Linked DNA regions of Struthio camelus. The protein of the gene in region 2 interacts with the protein of the main gene of each other region in a pairwise test. Links are inferred from orthologs where the notes say so. Each region holds a gene or a part of one and is shown on either strand. Other genes may lie near its edges.

Region 1 (8,434 bases), about 120 Mb from region 2:
GATTTCTGTTGGTAACCCGGGTGGAAAAGCCCATGCCACAGCTTTTAGAACAAGCACTCCATTCTGTTGTCTGCTCAATGCAATTGGCGCTTGAATCGGACACATCGATCCCCAGGGTGGCCTCCTGTCTGTATGCTGGAGACAAAATCCCACAGAACAAGAAAGACTTAACGTGAGAATCCAGTACATATTTGAGCTCTTCTACATTTGGGAGGAAACAAATGAGATGATGAGAAAGAAAAAAAAAGTCGAAAATCTATGATTTTGACAGGTCTCAGTCATTTGAAAAGTTGCCTTTTTAGGAGCCTTGGACAGCAACTTTCTACATCTAAAGATCAACAAATAGGTGCATGTCAGTGTAATAAGCAGAATAAATTTCTGCCTTTCTGCCACAACCTGAATTAGAGAGAGAAGACAGTTTCTGTCCAGTCAAGTCCGAAATGGGAAGAACTACTCTCAATTTGTTAATCAAGTTTAGAAATCCACTTTAATAACTCATTATTCCTTATTCTTTTTAACAAAAATGCATCACCAATCTATTCTAAGTCACAAAAATATTGACATTAGATATGATTTGAGAGTGGCTGCATGATTTATATAAACTAACAGATAAAGTGTTTTGTTCCTACAGTCATAGTCACCCCACCTTATCAATTATTGACAGATTATAGTCAGGGTGGTATGAGGGAAGAGGGAAGTAAAGTAATTTCATGAGTTATCACAGCTACTCAAAGCAATCATTTATTCTGGTCATTGTTCTGCCCTCCCGGTAGTGTTTAAGTTGTATTATGGAAATATTGCCAACTTTACAGTTTGGTACAGCAGTTATTATAGGAGTAAATAGAGTGAGCCAACATGACGGAGCCAGCCAAGTGCAGCGAGTTGTGTCACCCTTACGACTCTTGCTGATAAGCTTCTCCCCAGCCGCATTCTTGCCTTCTTGCAAGGTAAAGCTCCAAAAAGGCGGACATCCAAGAGGGATGACCATGGCCAAAAATAATGTAGGTAATCCACCTACAGGCATGTTATGGATTGGCCTGTCACTGTCAAAAAACAAAAGAAGAGGAAAGATGCTATAAAGTGACAACATGTTAAGTTATGCCTTACGTGCCTCCCATCTGACATTTCACAGCATTCTGCAAAGTTATTAGAGCTTATCGTCCTGGATCCTTCTTGCTTGTTTTTTTGAAATGGATTAGCTGTGCTGCAGCATAGCTAACTGCTTAAGACCGCACAGAGCAGTGACTGGGAGAGAATGCAGTGCCCTTGACTCCCAGTAAAAGCAGCTTTTGGAAATTCCTGTTAACCGGATAGTTTAATTTAAAGGGGAGGGAGACATAATTCAATAAGAAGAGATTGAGGAAAAGTGCAAAAGCACTTATGAGTTCTGTTTTTTGGAATAGGATGTTTTTTTTCAGATCCACTAACTGTGCCTACAAGCATTGCTTCTCCAAGTACTTTGTAATGCTTTTAATGCCAGCAATAATGATGAGAGCTCTAGCACAGACAGACAGGAATTTGTTGGCATTTTCGCTAGCATGCTGACCACTAGTAATAGCTGGGGAATTTAGGGGAAAAAAAAAAATCTCTTGTAAACCAGGCTGTGTTGAATGGTATTTAAGACGTAACATATTCTTGCAGAGCAGCTAGCAAGACTGAAGCTTTGATTTTTGGAGGAAGATAATGTTTGGAGGATTATGAGCTTGTCCCCACTTTATTCTACTCACGGAACTACTCTATATCAGATAAACAGCATTTCCAGAACTGGGTCCTAACTCAAGTTAATTATTTTTTAAAACATTTATTCTCTGAATATCTTTTCTTCAGTTAAAAAAATTCTGCTTTTACTCAGAACCACTGGTCTACTCATTAGTTGCTCTAGATGAGAAAAAGAAAAAACAAAAAAAGGGTCAGAAAAAGTCCACAGCATAAAGCAGGATATGGTAAGCCCATGGACATTCCCAGCACGCTATCACCCTCCCCTCACGATGACTGTGTTAATTATAGTTTCCTCACCAGCCATAGCAAAACCTCCCAAAATCACTTTGTCTTCGGGGTCGCAGACCCACTTCTCGCAGCACTCTCCGGGGACTTCGATTTTTCTCGGGAAAGGGCAGTCGGGGCCGGGGAGCAGCAGGTCCAGGTTGCAGCGGGGCAGGCAGCCGATCTGCCCGTCGCGGCAGGTGCATTGGTACTTGCAGCTGGGCTGGAACGTCTCCCCGTTCCGGTAAATCATCCCGTCGAACACACAGTTGTCTCCTTCCAGCACTGGTGAGAAAGGCGGACGGCTGTCACTGGGGGGACGGTCAGGGCCCTCTCCGTCCCTCTCACAACCCCGAGGTGTGTTTTATCAGCAGGCCAAGGGGCCGGCGCTCACGCTGCCCGCCGCCACACGCCCGCAGGAGCCCAAGCGAAGGCGCCGTAGCATCCTTAGGCGCTTCACGGGGAGAGCTTGGCCCTGCTGTCTGGGCGCGCCGCGCGCCCGCGCTCCTCCTAAGCGGAGAGCGGGGCCACCTTTCGGCACCCCGGGGCACCCCGTAAAGCCCCTGGGTGCGCGGAGCTAAGGGCAGTGCTGAGGCGGGCTCGCCTCCTGCGGGCTCAGGCAGGGGCAGGGCGGCCGCAGGGCGCGGGGCAAAGGTGGGACATTTCGCCCCGTGGGCTCAAAGGGCCCTCGAGAGGCGGCGGGGCCTCTCCCCGCTCCGGGGGAAGGGCCGCGAGTGGGGCCGCCGCCGCCGCCACCTACCCATGCAGATGCCGGTGGCGCCGCCGTCGTCGGGGCCGCGGTCGCAGTAGAGGCCGCTGCTCTCGTCGCAGGGCAGCAGCGGGGAGCAGCTCTCGCCGCGCTGCCGGGCGCACACCAGGCAGCAGGAGCAGCCGTCCAGGACGGCGGGCACCCCCGGGGGGCAGCGCGGCGGCGCCGCCGGGCACGGCCCGCCGCACGGCCGGGGGCAGGCCGCCTCCCGGCCGCTCACCTGCGGGGACAAAGCGGCCCCGAGGGCCCGGTCACGGCACCGGCGCGGCCGCCGGCTGCCCGCACGGCGCGGCCGCGGGGCCCGGCAGCCGCCCCCCCCCCCCCCCCCGGCCCCCGGCCCGGGCCGCCCGCACTTGCCTGGCACAGCAGCGGCAGGAGCAGCAGCGGCGGCAGCAGGCGCTGCCCGCCGCCCCTCGGCATGGTCCCGACCCGGCCTCCCCGCGGCGCCGCTCGCCTCTGCCGCCAGGGCCATTGCGGCCGCTTATATAGAGCCCGTCGGGGACGGCGGCGCGGCCCGGGGGCGGGGAGCTGGAGCTGGAGCTGGAGCTGGAGCTGGAGCTGGAGCTGGAGCTGGAGCCAGGCCCGCGCCCCCGCCCCCGCCACCTGCCCCGCGAAGCGACAGCCCCCCCCGGGCCGCCCCTCCCCCTCGGGGCAGCCCGCGATCCCCCCCCCGTGCCCCCCCTCCCTCTCGGGGCAGCCCCGCGATCCCCCCTCGGGGCAGCCCGCGATCCCCCCCCGGGCCCCCCCTCCCCCTCGGGGCAGCCCCGCGATCCCCCCACGGGGCAGCCCGCGATCTCCCCCGGGCCCCCCCTCCCCCTCGGGGCAGCCCGCGATCCCCCCCCCCGTGCCCCCCCTCCCTCTCGGGGCAGCCCCGCGATCCCCCCTCGGGGCAGCCCGCGATCCACCCCTGGCCCCCCCTCCCTCTTGGGGCAGCCCGCGATCCCCCCTCGGGGCAGCCCGCGATCCCCCCCCGGGCCCCCCCTCCCCCTCGGGGCAGCCCGCGATCCCCCCTCGGGGCAGCCCGCGATCCACCCCTGGCCCCCCCTCCCTCTTGGGGCAGCCCGCGATCCCCCCTCGGGGCAGCCCGTGATCCCCCCTCGGGGCAGCTCGCGATCCCCCCTCGGGGCAGCCCGCGATCCCCCCTCGGGGCAGCTCGCAATCCCCCCTCGGGGCAGCCCGCGATCCCCCCCGGGCCCCCCCTCCCCTCGGGGCAGCCCGCGATCCCCCCTCGGGGCAGCTCGCAATCCCCCCTCGGGGCAGCCCGCGATCCCCCCCGGGCCCCCCCTCCCCCTCGGGGTAGCCCACGATCCCCCCTCGGGGCAGCCCGCGATCCCCCCACGGGGCAGCCCGCGATCCCCCCTCGGGGCAGCCCGCGATCCCCCCTCGGGGCAGCTCGCGATCCCCCCCGGGCCCCCCCTCCCCTCGGGGCAGCCCGTGATCCCCCCTCGGGGCAGCCCGCGATCCCCCCGGGCCCCTCCTCCCCCTCGGGGCAGCTCGCGATCCCCCCTCGGGGCAGCCCGCGATCCCCCCTCGGAGCAGCTCGCGATCCCCCCTCGGGGCAGCCCGCGATCCCCCCTCGGGGCAGCTCGCGATCCCCCCTCGGGGCAGCCCGCGATCCCCCCTCGGAGCAGCTCGCGATCCCCCCTCGGGGCAGCCTGCGATCCCCTCTCGGGACAGCTCGCAATCCCCCCTCGGGGCAGCCCGCGATCCACCCCTGGCCCCCCCTCCCCCTCGGGGCAGCCCGCGATCCACCCCTGGCCCCCCCTCCCCCTCGGGGCAGCCCGCAATCCCCCCTCGGGGCAGCTCGCGATCCCCTCTCGGGGCAGCCTGCGATCCCCTCTCGGGGCAGCTCGCAATCCCCCCTCGGGGCAGCCCGCGATCCCCCCTCGGGGCAGCTCGTGATCCTCTCTTCGGGCAGCCCGCGATCCCCCCTCGGGGCAGCCCGCGATCCCCCCCGGGCCCCCCCTCCCCTCGGGGCAGCCCGCGATCCCCCCTCGGGGCAGCCCGCGATCCCCCCCGGGCCCCCCCTCCCCTCGGGGCAGCCCGCGATCCCCCCTCGGGGCAGCTCGCAATCCCCCCTTGGGGCAGCCCGCGATCCCCCCCGGGCCCCCCCTCCCCTCGGGGCAGCCCGCGATCCCCCCTCGGGGCAGCCCGCGATCCCCCCTTGGGGCAGCTCGCAATCCCCCCTCGGGGCAGCCCGCGATCCCCCCCGGGCCCCCCCTCCCCCTCGGGGTAGCCCACGATCCCCCCTCGGGGCAGCCCGCGATCCCCCCACGGGGCAGCCCGCGATCCCCCCTCGGGGCAGCTCGCGATCCCCCCCGGGCCCCCCCTCCCCTCGGGGCAGCCCGCGATCCCCCCTCGGGGCAGCTCGTGATCCTTTCTTCGGGCAGCCTGCGATCCTCCCTTGGGGCACCCTGCGATCCCCTCCCCAGGGCAGCCTGTGGTCCCCACCAGGGGCAGCTTGTGGTCCGCCTCACAGTGTCCCGCTCCCCGGCCCCTTCACGGGAGTGGGCACCCCAGGGGAAAGCGGGTCCCTGAGCAGTGGGAAGGCCTGGGGTGCCACCGTGCTGGTGGCCCTTCCCCCGGGGCGCGTGGTGGTGCCTGAGCCCTGAGGCGAGTGCCTTCCCGCAGCCCTCCACTGCCACCCCATGTGGCTGGTCACTGCTCGCTTGGTCTGCGGTAAGCGACTCAGGGTTTGCCTGCATGCCAGCTCCTATGCAAGCGCTAGACCTTACACCACGATTTATACATCCTGCTGAAGCCAACGCCACCTCTCTGTTGTAGCTGCCTGGCGAGGGATTAGACTACGTCCTGGTCCAGTCTGTGGAGACTGGTCACCCCAAATGTAAGTACCTCTCAGGAGCCTGGGCAGCTTTCGACCCTTGTGTTTCAACCCTTCTTGAACTTTTTGAACAACCTTTCAGTGTTACAGGGGGCATGAAAGGACCCTGATGATAACATAAGGCATTGTAGGGGTGACATACTCGCTTCATAAACTCTTTGCTTGCCAACTTGTAGGTGCTGATCATCAGCAGAGAGGTCCCGGTGTATCGGCATGTCGGAAGCAGAAATTGCACGGGGAGCCCTTCGCACTCTGCAGCACGAACCTCCTGGGATGAGCTGAAGAGATACCAGACTCATCGGTGCTTATTTGTGTGTGTGTGACCATGAAATACGCAGATCCCAACAAGTCAAGCCTTAGGAATGTTTTGGAGACATAACTGCTGTGCTCTGTGCCGTGAAGTTATTTTAGAGTACGCGGGACTGATCCAGGCCAAGCATAAGGGAGACTAAATCTATTAACGTGTTTTACTTGTCAGGAATTGTTTTCTGCCCAAGGCTTTCTTGGGTCTTTCTAGGATACAGATATTCCATATCCCCAGTTGACTGCAGCAGATAATGTGCGCTGGATTCTGTTGTGGCTTGTTAAAGAGAAAGTATTTGAAAAATAAACAAAAGTTGAAGACAGACTAGTGAAAACAGGACGCCTTTTAAGCTTAAGACATGACACAAGTGGTACTCATGAATTTACAAGGCTGCTGTAGCTCTAAGCCAAAGCAGTGCTCAGCACAAAAACAGGAATCGTCATATACAGGTTTTGCTTTGGACAAAAGTCACCATTCCTTTCTTGAAGTTATGTAGCAACAGCTGGTTTTCTAAAGAGATCTGTCATCTGAAGGGAAGTAGCCTTCACCAGCACAGGGTTAGTAACCTGCAGTCATACATTAACCCTTCATTTTCTCACTCATAAGCAACAGGACCAGGCAAGGAAAAATAGGATTGTTCAAACCTTATTAACTACTTGGGTGTAGGTTTGAGGTTATTTCAGTCATCCACTGGATTTCACCTTCCTTTATTTTTCTTTTATTTTTCTTTTTCTTTCTTTTTCTTTTTTTTTCTTTTTCTATTTTTCTTTTTTTCTTTTCTTTTTCTTTTTATTTTTCTTTTTCCTTTGCTTCTTTGCCTCATAACTCTGATTTAGGTAGTGCAAACCCATTTTTTACAGTAGCACTCCTTGCTTGTGAGCAGGATGACCAGTGCTGTTGGCCAAGCACTAAAATTTGCTAAAAAGAAACAAGGCTGTTCCTGTAGTTTTCCCAGAAGCAGGGCTCTAAGCCAGAGGACAAAGGTCCATTTTTGTCTGTCCCTCTGCATGGGAATCTGATGAGGTTTTCAAGGCCAACAGTCATTCACAGCCACTGAAAGTTACCTCCTTTTCAAATGAGGTTATTTCACAACACCCTTAAATATCTTCTTATCTATTAAAAAGGCTTCACCACATAAAACTGGAGATAGAATCAAATAAACGAAAAGAACATTTACCAGTGTACTTAAATTCAATACAAGGAAAGTCTTGCATGGTGCCCAGTGAGAAGAAACCAAGTCAGTAATCTATAATACCTAAACGTTTGGGTCATAACCTGTATAGGTATGTAAAAGGCTAACTGAGGCCCATGGAGAACAAATGCTGAAGTGTTCTGTAATCTTAGCTTTAAAATTCAACTTCTAATTGCTGTGAATGCTTTAAGGAAGCCAGGTAATGTGTCTCATGTGTCACTTAAGCATTGTCAAGGCGCAAAGTGCTTTTCAGCTGTCTTTTCTGTCTGAGAGAGATGCAGGTTTGTGCTCAGGGCAGAGGACATATCCCAAACTCGGCAACAGCTGCCACGAGCCTCTGCATTGCCCTGTAACAGCCTTCCAGGCAAAGACTTCTCCCTCTGGATTGCCATAAACCTGCCTTGGGCTAAATCTGTGGCAGGGGTGCCTGAACATGTTCTTTCATTCAGATCCTAACCTCCATTGAGCTAATAGCCCTGAAAGTGTTACTTTTACTCATCGCCTTGCACAAGACCAGATGGTTTATGCATGTTTCACCACTGCAACTTCTGAGGAAGCTCTGTCTAAAAGGCTGGGATCAGAGGCTGCAAGTAAAACTGGCTTAATTCTTAGAGAGTTTCTAGGTGCTGATCCTCTTCACATCCAGAGGTGTTTAGACATATATCCAGCATTAGAAACCTTCAAGGATTCACAGCAACATCTCACTGTTTAAAGCCAGCTGCCTGGCTCAGGAGATGTCCAAGCCCACTGCCTCACAACAAACAGGCCCACAGAGATCTCTTCCATTTTCCATGTACGGCAAATGATGTCATTTTTAGTGAGTAAAATTGTCATAAATACCACTTCTTTATCTTTCTCTATCTGTCCTCTTCTGTCCTACCATTTTTTACCAATACAAGTGTAATGTGGATGCACTGCGCGGCATTATGCTGTAAATTGATGCCCCTTCTTGTACTCTTCTACCTCACAAGCACACAGTATTTTTCTTGAAGTAATCCAGTAATCTGTAATCCAGTAATCTTGAAGTAATCCAGTAATCTGGGATTTCTGGCTAGCCCTTCTTAGTCTAGATGACAGCTGCAGATTCCTATCACCTACTGAGGGTGTTGATACTGCACATGCCCTAAACAGGGAACAAACAAAAATTATATAAACACTGCAGTAATTTTTTAATATCAATTATATTGATATATAATGGGCGCTTTCCATATACATGACATGTGACATTAATAGCAAGGCAGCACGCTTAGTAACAAACTGCATCGATTCTTCCCCCAGCGTCTGTTAGCAGCACACGAGGTTCTCCTGCCACAAGCGAAGTGACTGTAACTGAAGCAGCCCCAT
Region 2 (8,415 bases):
GAGACTGGCTGAAGACAGTTTCTGCTTTTGAATTGTGCTCTGTTTATAGAAGTGTCAACATCCATCTCGAGGTGAAAAGGTTAGCACTTGACCCAGGAAGTTCTCGTGTGTGTGCTTCAAAAATAGATCTGGATCATAAATTCCGCCTTGCTACAGTGGACGGAGAGGAGGGCTTATATTTTCTAAAAATAATATTATTCGAGTGTAGAAAAGGAAGAAAGTTTGTGTTATGAATCAGACTGGACAGCCCGAGCTCTGACCCCGGCCAAAAAAAAAAAAAAAAAAAAAAAAAACACGTCAGGAGTAATGTTGGGATGTTCTTTCTCCCTTTCTCCCTGAGAAAGGCCCCATCAGAAGAAAATAATGGAGAGTAAACTGCTGAGCTGAGCCGGTGACTCATCAGTGACGTCACGCAGAGGTACGCACACAAGGGATACCTGAAAGTTGAATATATTTATTACAGACATTATAAGGACCCGTAGATTGTGCCCTGGATTCCCTCAGTCCCAGAATCGCAGAGCCTTTGATGATTGTACAGGAGACGAGGAAGATAGTTCGCTCACACACGACAACTGATAGAACTCAGTGTACCCGGAGTACAGCAAAGCACTGTGCATCATGCAAACTTCCAGACACGAATCACATAAAATATACATTCATTTGGCCAGTCGTCACATTTACGATTAGATTGAAAAGACGTCGAGTCTAAAGGAGGGTTAATATGAAAACAGGAAGAGGTGAGGTCTTTTGGACAGTTATACCCTTCGGTTCAATATAATCCAGCACAGACTTCTGTCGGGGGAGGGGGGAGGGAAAGCACACCGGGTAAGGTTTTCAAAACCTAGTGCAATTGAAGCCTTGTTTGTCACACTTAAACAAATAGCGCTACTCTTTGAGGTATCTGCTTGAGCTTAACACGTTTAACTTGATACGGTCGTCTGCTTTAACAATATAAAATTGGATCCAGTTTTGCGAATGCACCCACCCTGCTTAACCTGATAATCTAAACGTCATTTCTAGAAAAATCTGTAAAAAGATAAATCTCTCGGACAAAGTATTTACAAGCAACAAACTCATAGACGCGAACAAAGAATACATTAAATTAAAGGATGAAAGTCCTGTAAGTCGTGTAAACACTTCCAATAGTGCATCTCTTCGTGAGGTTATGTACCCTAGATAGCCTGTCTTTCACTCAGGGGGAACTTGAAGAAAGGTCTTTGCAACGGAGGAGAGAGACCCTTACACATGTGCCAACACATCTCCTCCAGCCAAAGGGGAACAGAGAGAAAATGTCCTCTTGGCCCCGAGGCCCGGGGGCCGGGGGGGCGCGGAGCGGGCGGCTGCCCGCGACGGGGCGGGCGTTTGGGGCACCGGGGCTCTGAAGGAGACCAACCAGCCAACACACACACACAACAGCGTTAAATCGGTTCGAGCTACGGTAGGGAGGCGGCTTGGGAGTCGCGAGTCCAAGCCAGGGAGCACCCAGGTGCGTCTCAGTTTGAGGTAGCAAGAGTGTCTGAGGTAGAGGAGGATGGCGAGGCAGTGCAGGGCGACGAGCAGGACTTCTCTGATAACTCCTCCGCTTTCTCCTCACAGCCCGTGGGGGTGGCGGGAGAGATGGGTAGCAGCCCCTCTTTCTCTCTTTTCTTCTGCTTCATCCTGCGGTTCTGGAACCAGATCTTGACCTGCGTCTCGTTGAGTTGCAGGGAGGCTGCAATCTCCACCCTCCTGGCCCTGGTCAGGTACTTGTTGAAATGAAACTCTTTCTCCAGTTCTGTGAGCTGCTTGGTGGTGAAATTAGTTCTGACCGTGTTGGGCTGCCCCACGAAGCCGTACTCGCCAGCCTTTCCTGCAAAAGGGGACATCCAGCATTAAGTAAGCGCAAGTGATTTATAGGCGACGTAATCAATGTGTCCACACCGGCTAAGCGATAGGGAGCAAGAACTTCTTAGGATAAGAGGGAAGCCCCGGCAGGGTGAGTGATGGAGTGCGAGGTGCTAAACTGGACTCAGCCTCTAGTGTCAGAGGAAACTTGATAAGTGGTTTATGAATTACAAGAAATATGACCGCGGGGGGGGGGGGGGGGGTAGGCACAGGCAGCGCTGACTTTGAGCGTAGCGGGCAGACGGCGGCGGCTGCTCTCGGGGGTCTCGGGCGCTTTACCTGCAAAGCAAACGGACGGGACACCTGTGCGCCGCCGGCCGCGGGGGCTGTGCTTTGCCTCGCCTTGGCTTTACCGACGGAAGAGAGAGAAAGGAGCTCGCCCCCCCCCCCCTCCTCAGGCCCTCCCGTCCTGCAGCCGGGGACTAACCTGTTTTGGGTGGGTTTCTCTTGACTTTCATCCAGTCAAAGGTCTGCGCGGGCGGCGAGGTCTCCGCGGACGGGGAGCGGGCGTTTTCCTGGTGGCTGGCGTGGAGAGGAGACAGGGCATGGTTATAGGTGCCCAGCGGCAGGCTCTGCTGCTCCTGTCCGTAGGGGGGGTGCACGTACTGAGCGGGGCCCCCCGCGTAGCCCTGGTGCGGGTGCTGCGCGGCGGCGGCGGAGGAGAGGCTGCCCGAGTACACCGCGGGCGCGCAGGGGGGGAAGCCGGCGCCGAGCTCCGCGTCTTGCCCGAGGGGGTAGGGGCTGTACGCCGCGCCGAAGCCCTGCGCGCCGTACGTCGGGCCGCAGCCGGCGTGCGAGTAGGAGACCCCCAGGCCGCCGTGGGGCTGGTAGGCGGCGGGCTGGGCCGGGGGGTGGTGGTGGCGGTGGGGGCTGATCTGCACCCCGCGGCCCACGAGGAAGCGGTCCTCCCCGCTGCAGCTGCCGGCGCTGACGGCGCAGGGCTGGAAAGTTGTAATCCCGTGGTCGGGGTGGTAGGCGCGGGCGGCGCAGCCCCCGGCCTCGCCGCCGAGGACGGGGTACTCGAGGAAGGAGCTCATCCTCGCCGTGTCCCTCTGTCACGCCGCCACCGGGTCTTCAGCGTCCGGCGGGGCCGCGCCAACTTTCCCACTTCCTCCATGGGGCCGGGAGGAAAATGACACGAAGGTACAGCGAGCGGGGAGGCACGTGGGGGGCGGCAGCCAATGGCTGCGGCGCCTGCGGGACTTTCCCGGCTCCTGCCGCTGATAGATCGCCGCGTCGGGGGCATTTAAACGCCGAGCGCTCCGACGGCGCGGCACGGCGCGGCGCGGCGCCGCGGGGCACGGTGGCCGCCCCGGGGGGGGGGCCCGCTCGCCCGCCCGCCCGCCCGCCCGCCCGTCGAGAGGGGAAGGCAGCAGAGAGCCTGGCGGCTGCGCCCGTGCCCCGGAGCCCACCGGCCGTCCCCTCCAGGGTGAGTGATGCCGCAGCGTCCCCGCCGAGGGTTGCCCCAGCGCCTCCCCTGCTGCCGGCGCTGTCAGGCTGGCGATCGGCACCCTCGACCCACTTCCTCCCCCCGCCGCCGCCGCCGCCGCCTCTCTCTCCCGGGCATGAGCCGCGGCGGGGCGGCAGCCGGACCCACGGCACGGGGGGAGGCCGGGACAGGCTCTGAGAGCATCAGGCCTGGGGACGGGCACGGGCACGGGGCCGCGGATGGGCACGGGCACGGGGCTGGGGACGGGCACTCCCGCTGCTGCTGCTGCCCCGCCGCAGAGCCCAGCGCGACGCGCCGCCAAGAGTTAAAGGGGCTTGTCCAGCCGCATCACCAGGCGGCCGCGGACATTAGCATGGAAATGAGGCGCTTTTGGGACTGACGGCCATTGTGCTCGGCCGGGCCCCCCGGCCTCCCCCCGGCCCGGCTCCCCGCTCCCCCCACACCTCCGCCGGGCTCGCCCGCGCCAGCCTGGGGCTGTGGTAGGGGAGGGGGAGCTGGTGGCAGGGAGATGGGAGATGCCCGCCAAGGTGACGGGGCCGGGGACCCGTCTGCCAGCACTGCTGCCGCCCCGCACTCCCCTAGGCCCGGGCGGGGGCGGAAAGCTGCCCGGGGGGCGCAGGTCGCGGCCCGCCAGCCCGGGGCCGGGGCTGCGGAGCGGCGGGGAGATGCAAAGCCCGCCGCCCCGTCCCCTTTGTCCCGGCTCCGCCACCCGGGCTGGCAGTGGCGGGAGGTGGCAGATGGCCAATGGCAGAGGTGGCCCCAGGACCCTTGGGAACCGCACTGAGCATCGACTCCAACTCCCCCTTCCCCCCCTCCCCCAAAAAGGGTCCATGGGTAGAAAAGGAGGGATGGCGGCTGGGATTTGAATTGCGACCTCATACTCGCTTTGCGTATGCAAAAAAGGCAAGGGGAGGTATAGATCGGGCATCCACCCGTCCCAGGGCACCTATCCATCTGTAGGGAGAGGGGACGGCACCAACAAACCGATTTCAGCACACTTCAGAGAGGCGTCCTGCGAAAGGTTAACCTAGGGGAGAGATGGGTAAGAACTAATACTCCCACTAGCAGCAGCAGCTCCGTGAGCAGCTGCCTTCTGTATTCCTGCAGGTGCATTTCCAGCCCGATCGTACATCGCTAGGTTCTCAGGCTTTGTTGTTTTCTTCTGAAGCCCAAAAAGCTTCTCTACCCTGCCACCTCTCCCTGCTCACAAACACTTAACACACACACACACACACACACACACACACACACACAGACACACACACACACACACACACGCAAACCCACAAGCTCCTCCCATCTGAACTACAACATCCTCTCCTGGGTGCAAGGCTCTCCTACTGCTGTCAGGTCAGCCCTTATCCCACTCCATCTGCAAGGCCTCTCTGCGGCCAGCAAAAACTGAGGGACTGCCCATGCTTAACCATATGCCCTTAGTATTTCTGTTTGCTTTCATTTACTGCGCAGGCACGAATGAGTAAGAGCCCTCTGGAAAGGTTCGGTTTCTTAAACTCCGGTGGGGACGTGGCGGGGAGGAGTAACAACAAAACTCCAGAGGCATTTATGGAATTATACGGCACCATTTTTGGCTATGGTAACGGATGTAAACACATTTATTTCATTCTTGTAAAGCAGTTGTGATAAATACTGCATAAGGCAAAGGAAAAGGCAGGCCGCTGGGACTGTTTACTAATAAAAGAGCTGGCGTCTTTTCAGGGCTTTTTTACAACAGCTGGCCAAGAAAAAGGCATATTTTGCTATAAATAGATCGGGTTTACCCGTAAATCCTGCCAAATTACAACACCTCTCTTACAGCCTCCTGCATCCCGGAATCTTTTTTTGTTTGTTTGTTTGTTTTCTCGTATATTCGTGCCATTGTTCAGCAGAGATCCCTCTCTTTTGTTACATTGTCTCTCTCACAGTGCCTCGGATTTTTGCTGCCAATACTGTGCATGGGGGCAACATAATAAGGAGGGCCAGAGCAGAGGGAAAAATGCCCCTCCACCACCCGCCGAGTGGAGCTGCCCCCTCTCCGCTCCCAGAGGCGCCCGGCGGGCCCCTCTCCCCTCCGAGCCCCCTTTGTGGCTCGCTCCGGGCCGGGGTGCAGAAAGTGCCATTTCCTGCCCAGAGCTGGGAGAGAAGGGGGCAATTCCGGTGCTTAAGGCTTTTTCGTGGGAGATCTCGCATGCCCTCCCACCCCCCAGTACCCCCGCTATGGCCCTAGGGCTTATCGAGAGAGACTTAGGCGGCTCCTGTCTGCTGAATCGCCCGATTTGTTTAAACCGAGTGTGGGAAAAGTTTAAATCTGGTAGCATATTTTTCTTTGTTTCTTTTGTTTTGTTTTGTTTTGTTTTTTAAGCGTTAGCAGTATTCAGATATCTAGGCACAAAAGAAATCCCAGCCCATACCCGCACATTGCAATCCAGTTTAACCCAGTGCCACAGGAGTTAAAATACCGGTGAGGCTACTCGCTTTCCGCAGAGCCGGGGCTGGAGCAGAGAGAAGGACAAGAAGCAGGGCCGAGGTTTTGCCGCGTCCGCAGCTCAGCCAAGCTGTTGTTTTAAAAGAGCAATAAAAATGAATTATGACTAAACGCCTTCTCACTTAATGGTTTTAGACGGGGATCCCCAGCCCCGGCAAATACGTAAGAGGATTTTTATTTGTGCATGTGTTCCTGCAATTGATCTCTTTGATGACATTCTCATTCATAGAAAGAGTTTGATTTATGACTTTCGGAAGAATTGCGTTCAGCCCTTCCAGCTATAACCCACGCAGCTCAGCTCCACAACGTGTTGCAGGGCTGGGAGACAGCACTCCTCGCACGGACGGGCAGCGAAGTGCTTTCCCCAAACCCTCGCTCAGGCTGCGTTCTCGTGTGCACACGCACACTCACACTCCCACACTCACACTCACACACGCAGAGACATACACAGCCAGGGACCAACGATCCCTCGGGCTCTGCTCGCCCCCGGAGCCGGGAGCCGCCGGCTCGCATCTGTTGCTCGGCTTCAGCCCGCCGGACACGGCTCGCCCCCCGCTCCGGGCTCCGGCAATGCCGCTCAGCGAGTCGCAGGCAATTTGCTGGAGGTTTTTTACGCCCATCTTTGCTGCCTCAAGCAGAGAGCGGGGAGCCCTGAGGAAATTTCTACTCGGAAAGTAAGAGTTCCCCCTTTTCGTTATCAGCCATTCCGCTCGCAATCGGGTTTAAAGAGAAAATACCTTGCGCTGGGTCCCCGCACTTTCCCTCAAAATAAGCAAGTGGAGGGTGTATTCTCCCTAATGCTTTTTTTTAATGCTTTTATGGCACCTTTTTGATTTTGCAGGCAATAACTTTTTTTTTCCTCTCTTTTTAGGGCTGTTTTCTTGGACCGCTCAGCACGTGGACACGAATCAAACGCACTCTCTGTGAGGTTTTATATTTTAAGATACGCTTCCTGAAACAGCTTGCTGGCTGCTAAGTACTGTATTCTAGAAAAATAGGATTTTTTTTCCGAAAAGAGCCCTTCGTGTATGTAACAGGCTAGTTTCTGCAGGAAACACTTTTCCGACTAAGTCTAGCTTATGTTTTGCCTGCAACAAAAAAAAAAGTGCACCGTTATGCTTTTGTTACAGTTTAGAATATCCAAGCTTTGTATCCGCACGGAGATAACATGCTACGTTTATATATTAAAAGGAAGAAGCCTCTATCTAAGTTGTTTTAGTTTGTGTTTTTTTCTTGTGAGAACCCTTGCAATAAAGAGTTTGACAGTGTTTTTTCCTCTCTAAAACATGTACTTTCCAAAAGGGGAGAGATTATAGTCAGAATGTTGAATTTTCATTATTAGTAAATTAATAATAGAAGGCAGGGGGAGAAATATCCGTTATGTTATCAGTCTTGAAAGGAGAGAAAGAGAAAGAGAAAGGGAGAAAGAGAAAGAAAAAAGAGAAAGCTTCTTGTAGCAAACAAGAATTTATTCTACCAAAAATACTTATGACAACGCATCCTAATGTAATACAAAAATAAAAAGAAAGTGAAGATACAATTCCTATATGATCACTTTCTTACAGACCTCATATATTGCTTTCATAGAAGGACCTAGAATGTGGCTCGGTTAAAACTGAACACAACTAAAACTTCATAAGAAACGGTAAAATGGCTCTCGAACACAGCAAAGGGAGGTAATAAACAGAAAATACTGACCGAGAAAAAGGGGAGGGGGGGAATAAAATTAATTCACTGGAAAAATAAAGAAGAATAAGGAGGAGAAGGCAGGACCCTTGAGAGGACGTCTTTAATTCTCAGTAATTCAGATGCTGCAAGTCAATTGTGGTGAGTGTGTCTGTAAAAAAGTCAAAACTGTCAGCAGAAATATCTACGGGACTGTCCAGAGATCCTGGCAAACTGGGGGAAACTGCATCTGAAAGCTGCAGGCAGGAATCTGTGGAGAAAACGCTAAAGTCCTGTAAAGAAGGGACATCTAGGGCCTCAGGACTGTCATTGTTTAGGCCAGCTGCACAGTTCTGGGCCATTGTTGAGAGGCAGTTTTGAACAGTGGGTGACTGATGTTGAAAATGTTTCAGATTTTTCTCATTGCTCGTTAAAGGCGAAACGGGGAAACTTTGGGACTCTCCATTGTGCACATTGGGAGCCTGCTGCTGAGACAGTGCATTCTGCTGGAAAGTGTAACCTTCCCTTTCCAAAAGAGCTCCGGAGACGTTGCTGAGGGCTTGTTCAAAGAGGGATTTCTCCTCCTCCTCCTCTTCTTCTGCCGCTTTCTCCGGGTCCTCTAGGCTCTTAAATTTCCCCTCACTGTTTTGGTTCTCCTTGCACTGGGTCTGTCTCTTGTGCTTCATCCTTCTGTTCTGGAACCAGACTTTGACTTGTCTCTCAGTCAAATCCAGCAAAGCTGCGATCTCAACCCTCCTTGGTCTACAGAGATACTTGTTGAAATGGAATTCTTTTTCTAGCTCCAAAAGCTGGGTGTTGGTGTAAGCCGTCCTCAGCCGCCTAGATCCACCGTTACCACTATCGGGGATTTCAAGGGGGTCTGTTAAAAAAGAAAAAGAAAAAGAAAAACACCACCACCACACACGCACACACC

What was found.
Region 1: the proteins of HOXA1 (region 2) and CCN3 interact in binary tests that used the Homo sapiens proteins (3 or more experiments, as listed by UniProt). The link is inferred for Struthio camelus from reciprocal best matches to the Homo sapiens genes HOXA1 and CCN3.

What each region holds. Positions count from the first base shown.
Region 1 is NC_090943.1:158,445,394-158,453,827, reverse strand, and holds the start of CCN3 (CCN family member 3), read right to left. Parts: upstream 3,173-8,434; coding exon 3,110-3,172; intron 2,973-3,109; coding exon 2,744-2,972; intron 2,269-2,743; coding exon 2,017-2,268; intron 136-2,016; coding exon 1-135. UniProt on the Homo sapiens protein: Immediate-early protein playing a role in various cellular processes including proliferation, adhesion, migration, differentiation and survival. Acts by binding to integrins or membrane receptors such as NOTCH1.
Region 2 is NC_090943.1:39,094,107-39,102,521, forward strand, and holds HOXA1 (homeobox protein Hox-A1), read right to left. Parts: upstream 3,197-8,415; 5' UTR 2,922-3,196; coding exon 2,312-2,921; intron 1,850-2,311; coding exon 1,494-1,849; 3' UTR 435-1,493; downstream 1-434. Other genes in the region: HOXA2 (homeobox protein Hox-A2), read right to left, coding at 7,613-8,361. UniProt on the Homo sapiens protein: Sequence-specific transcription factor. Regulates multiple developmental processes including brainstem, inner and outer ear, abducens nerve and cardiovascular development and morphogenesis as well as cognition and behavior.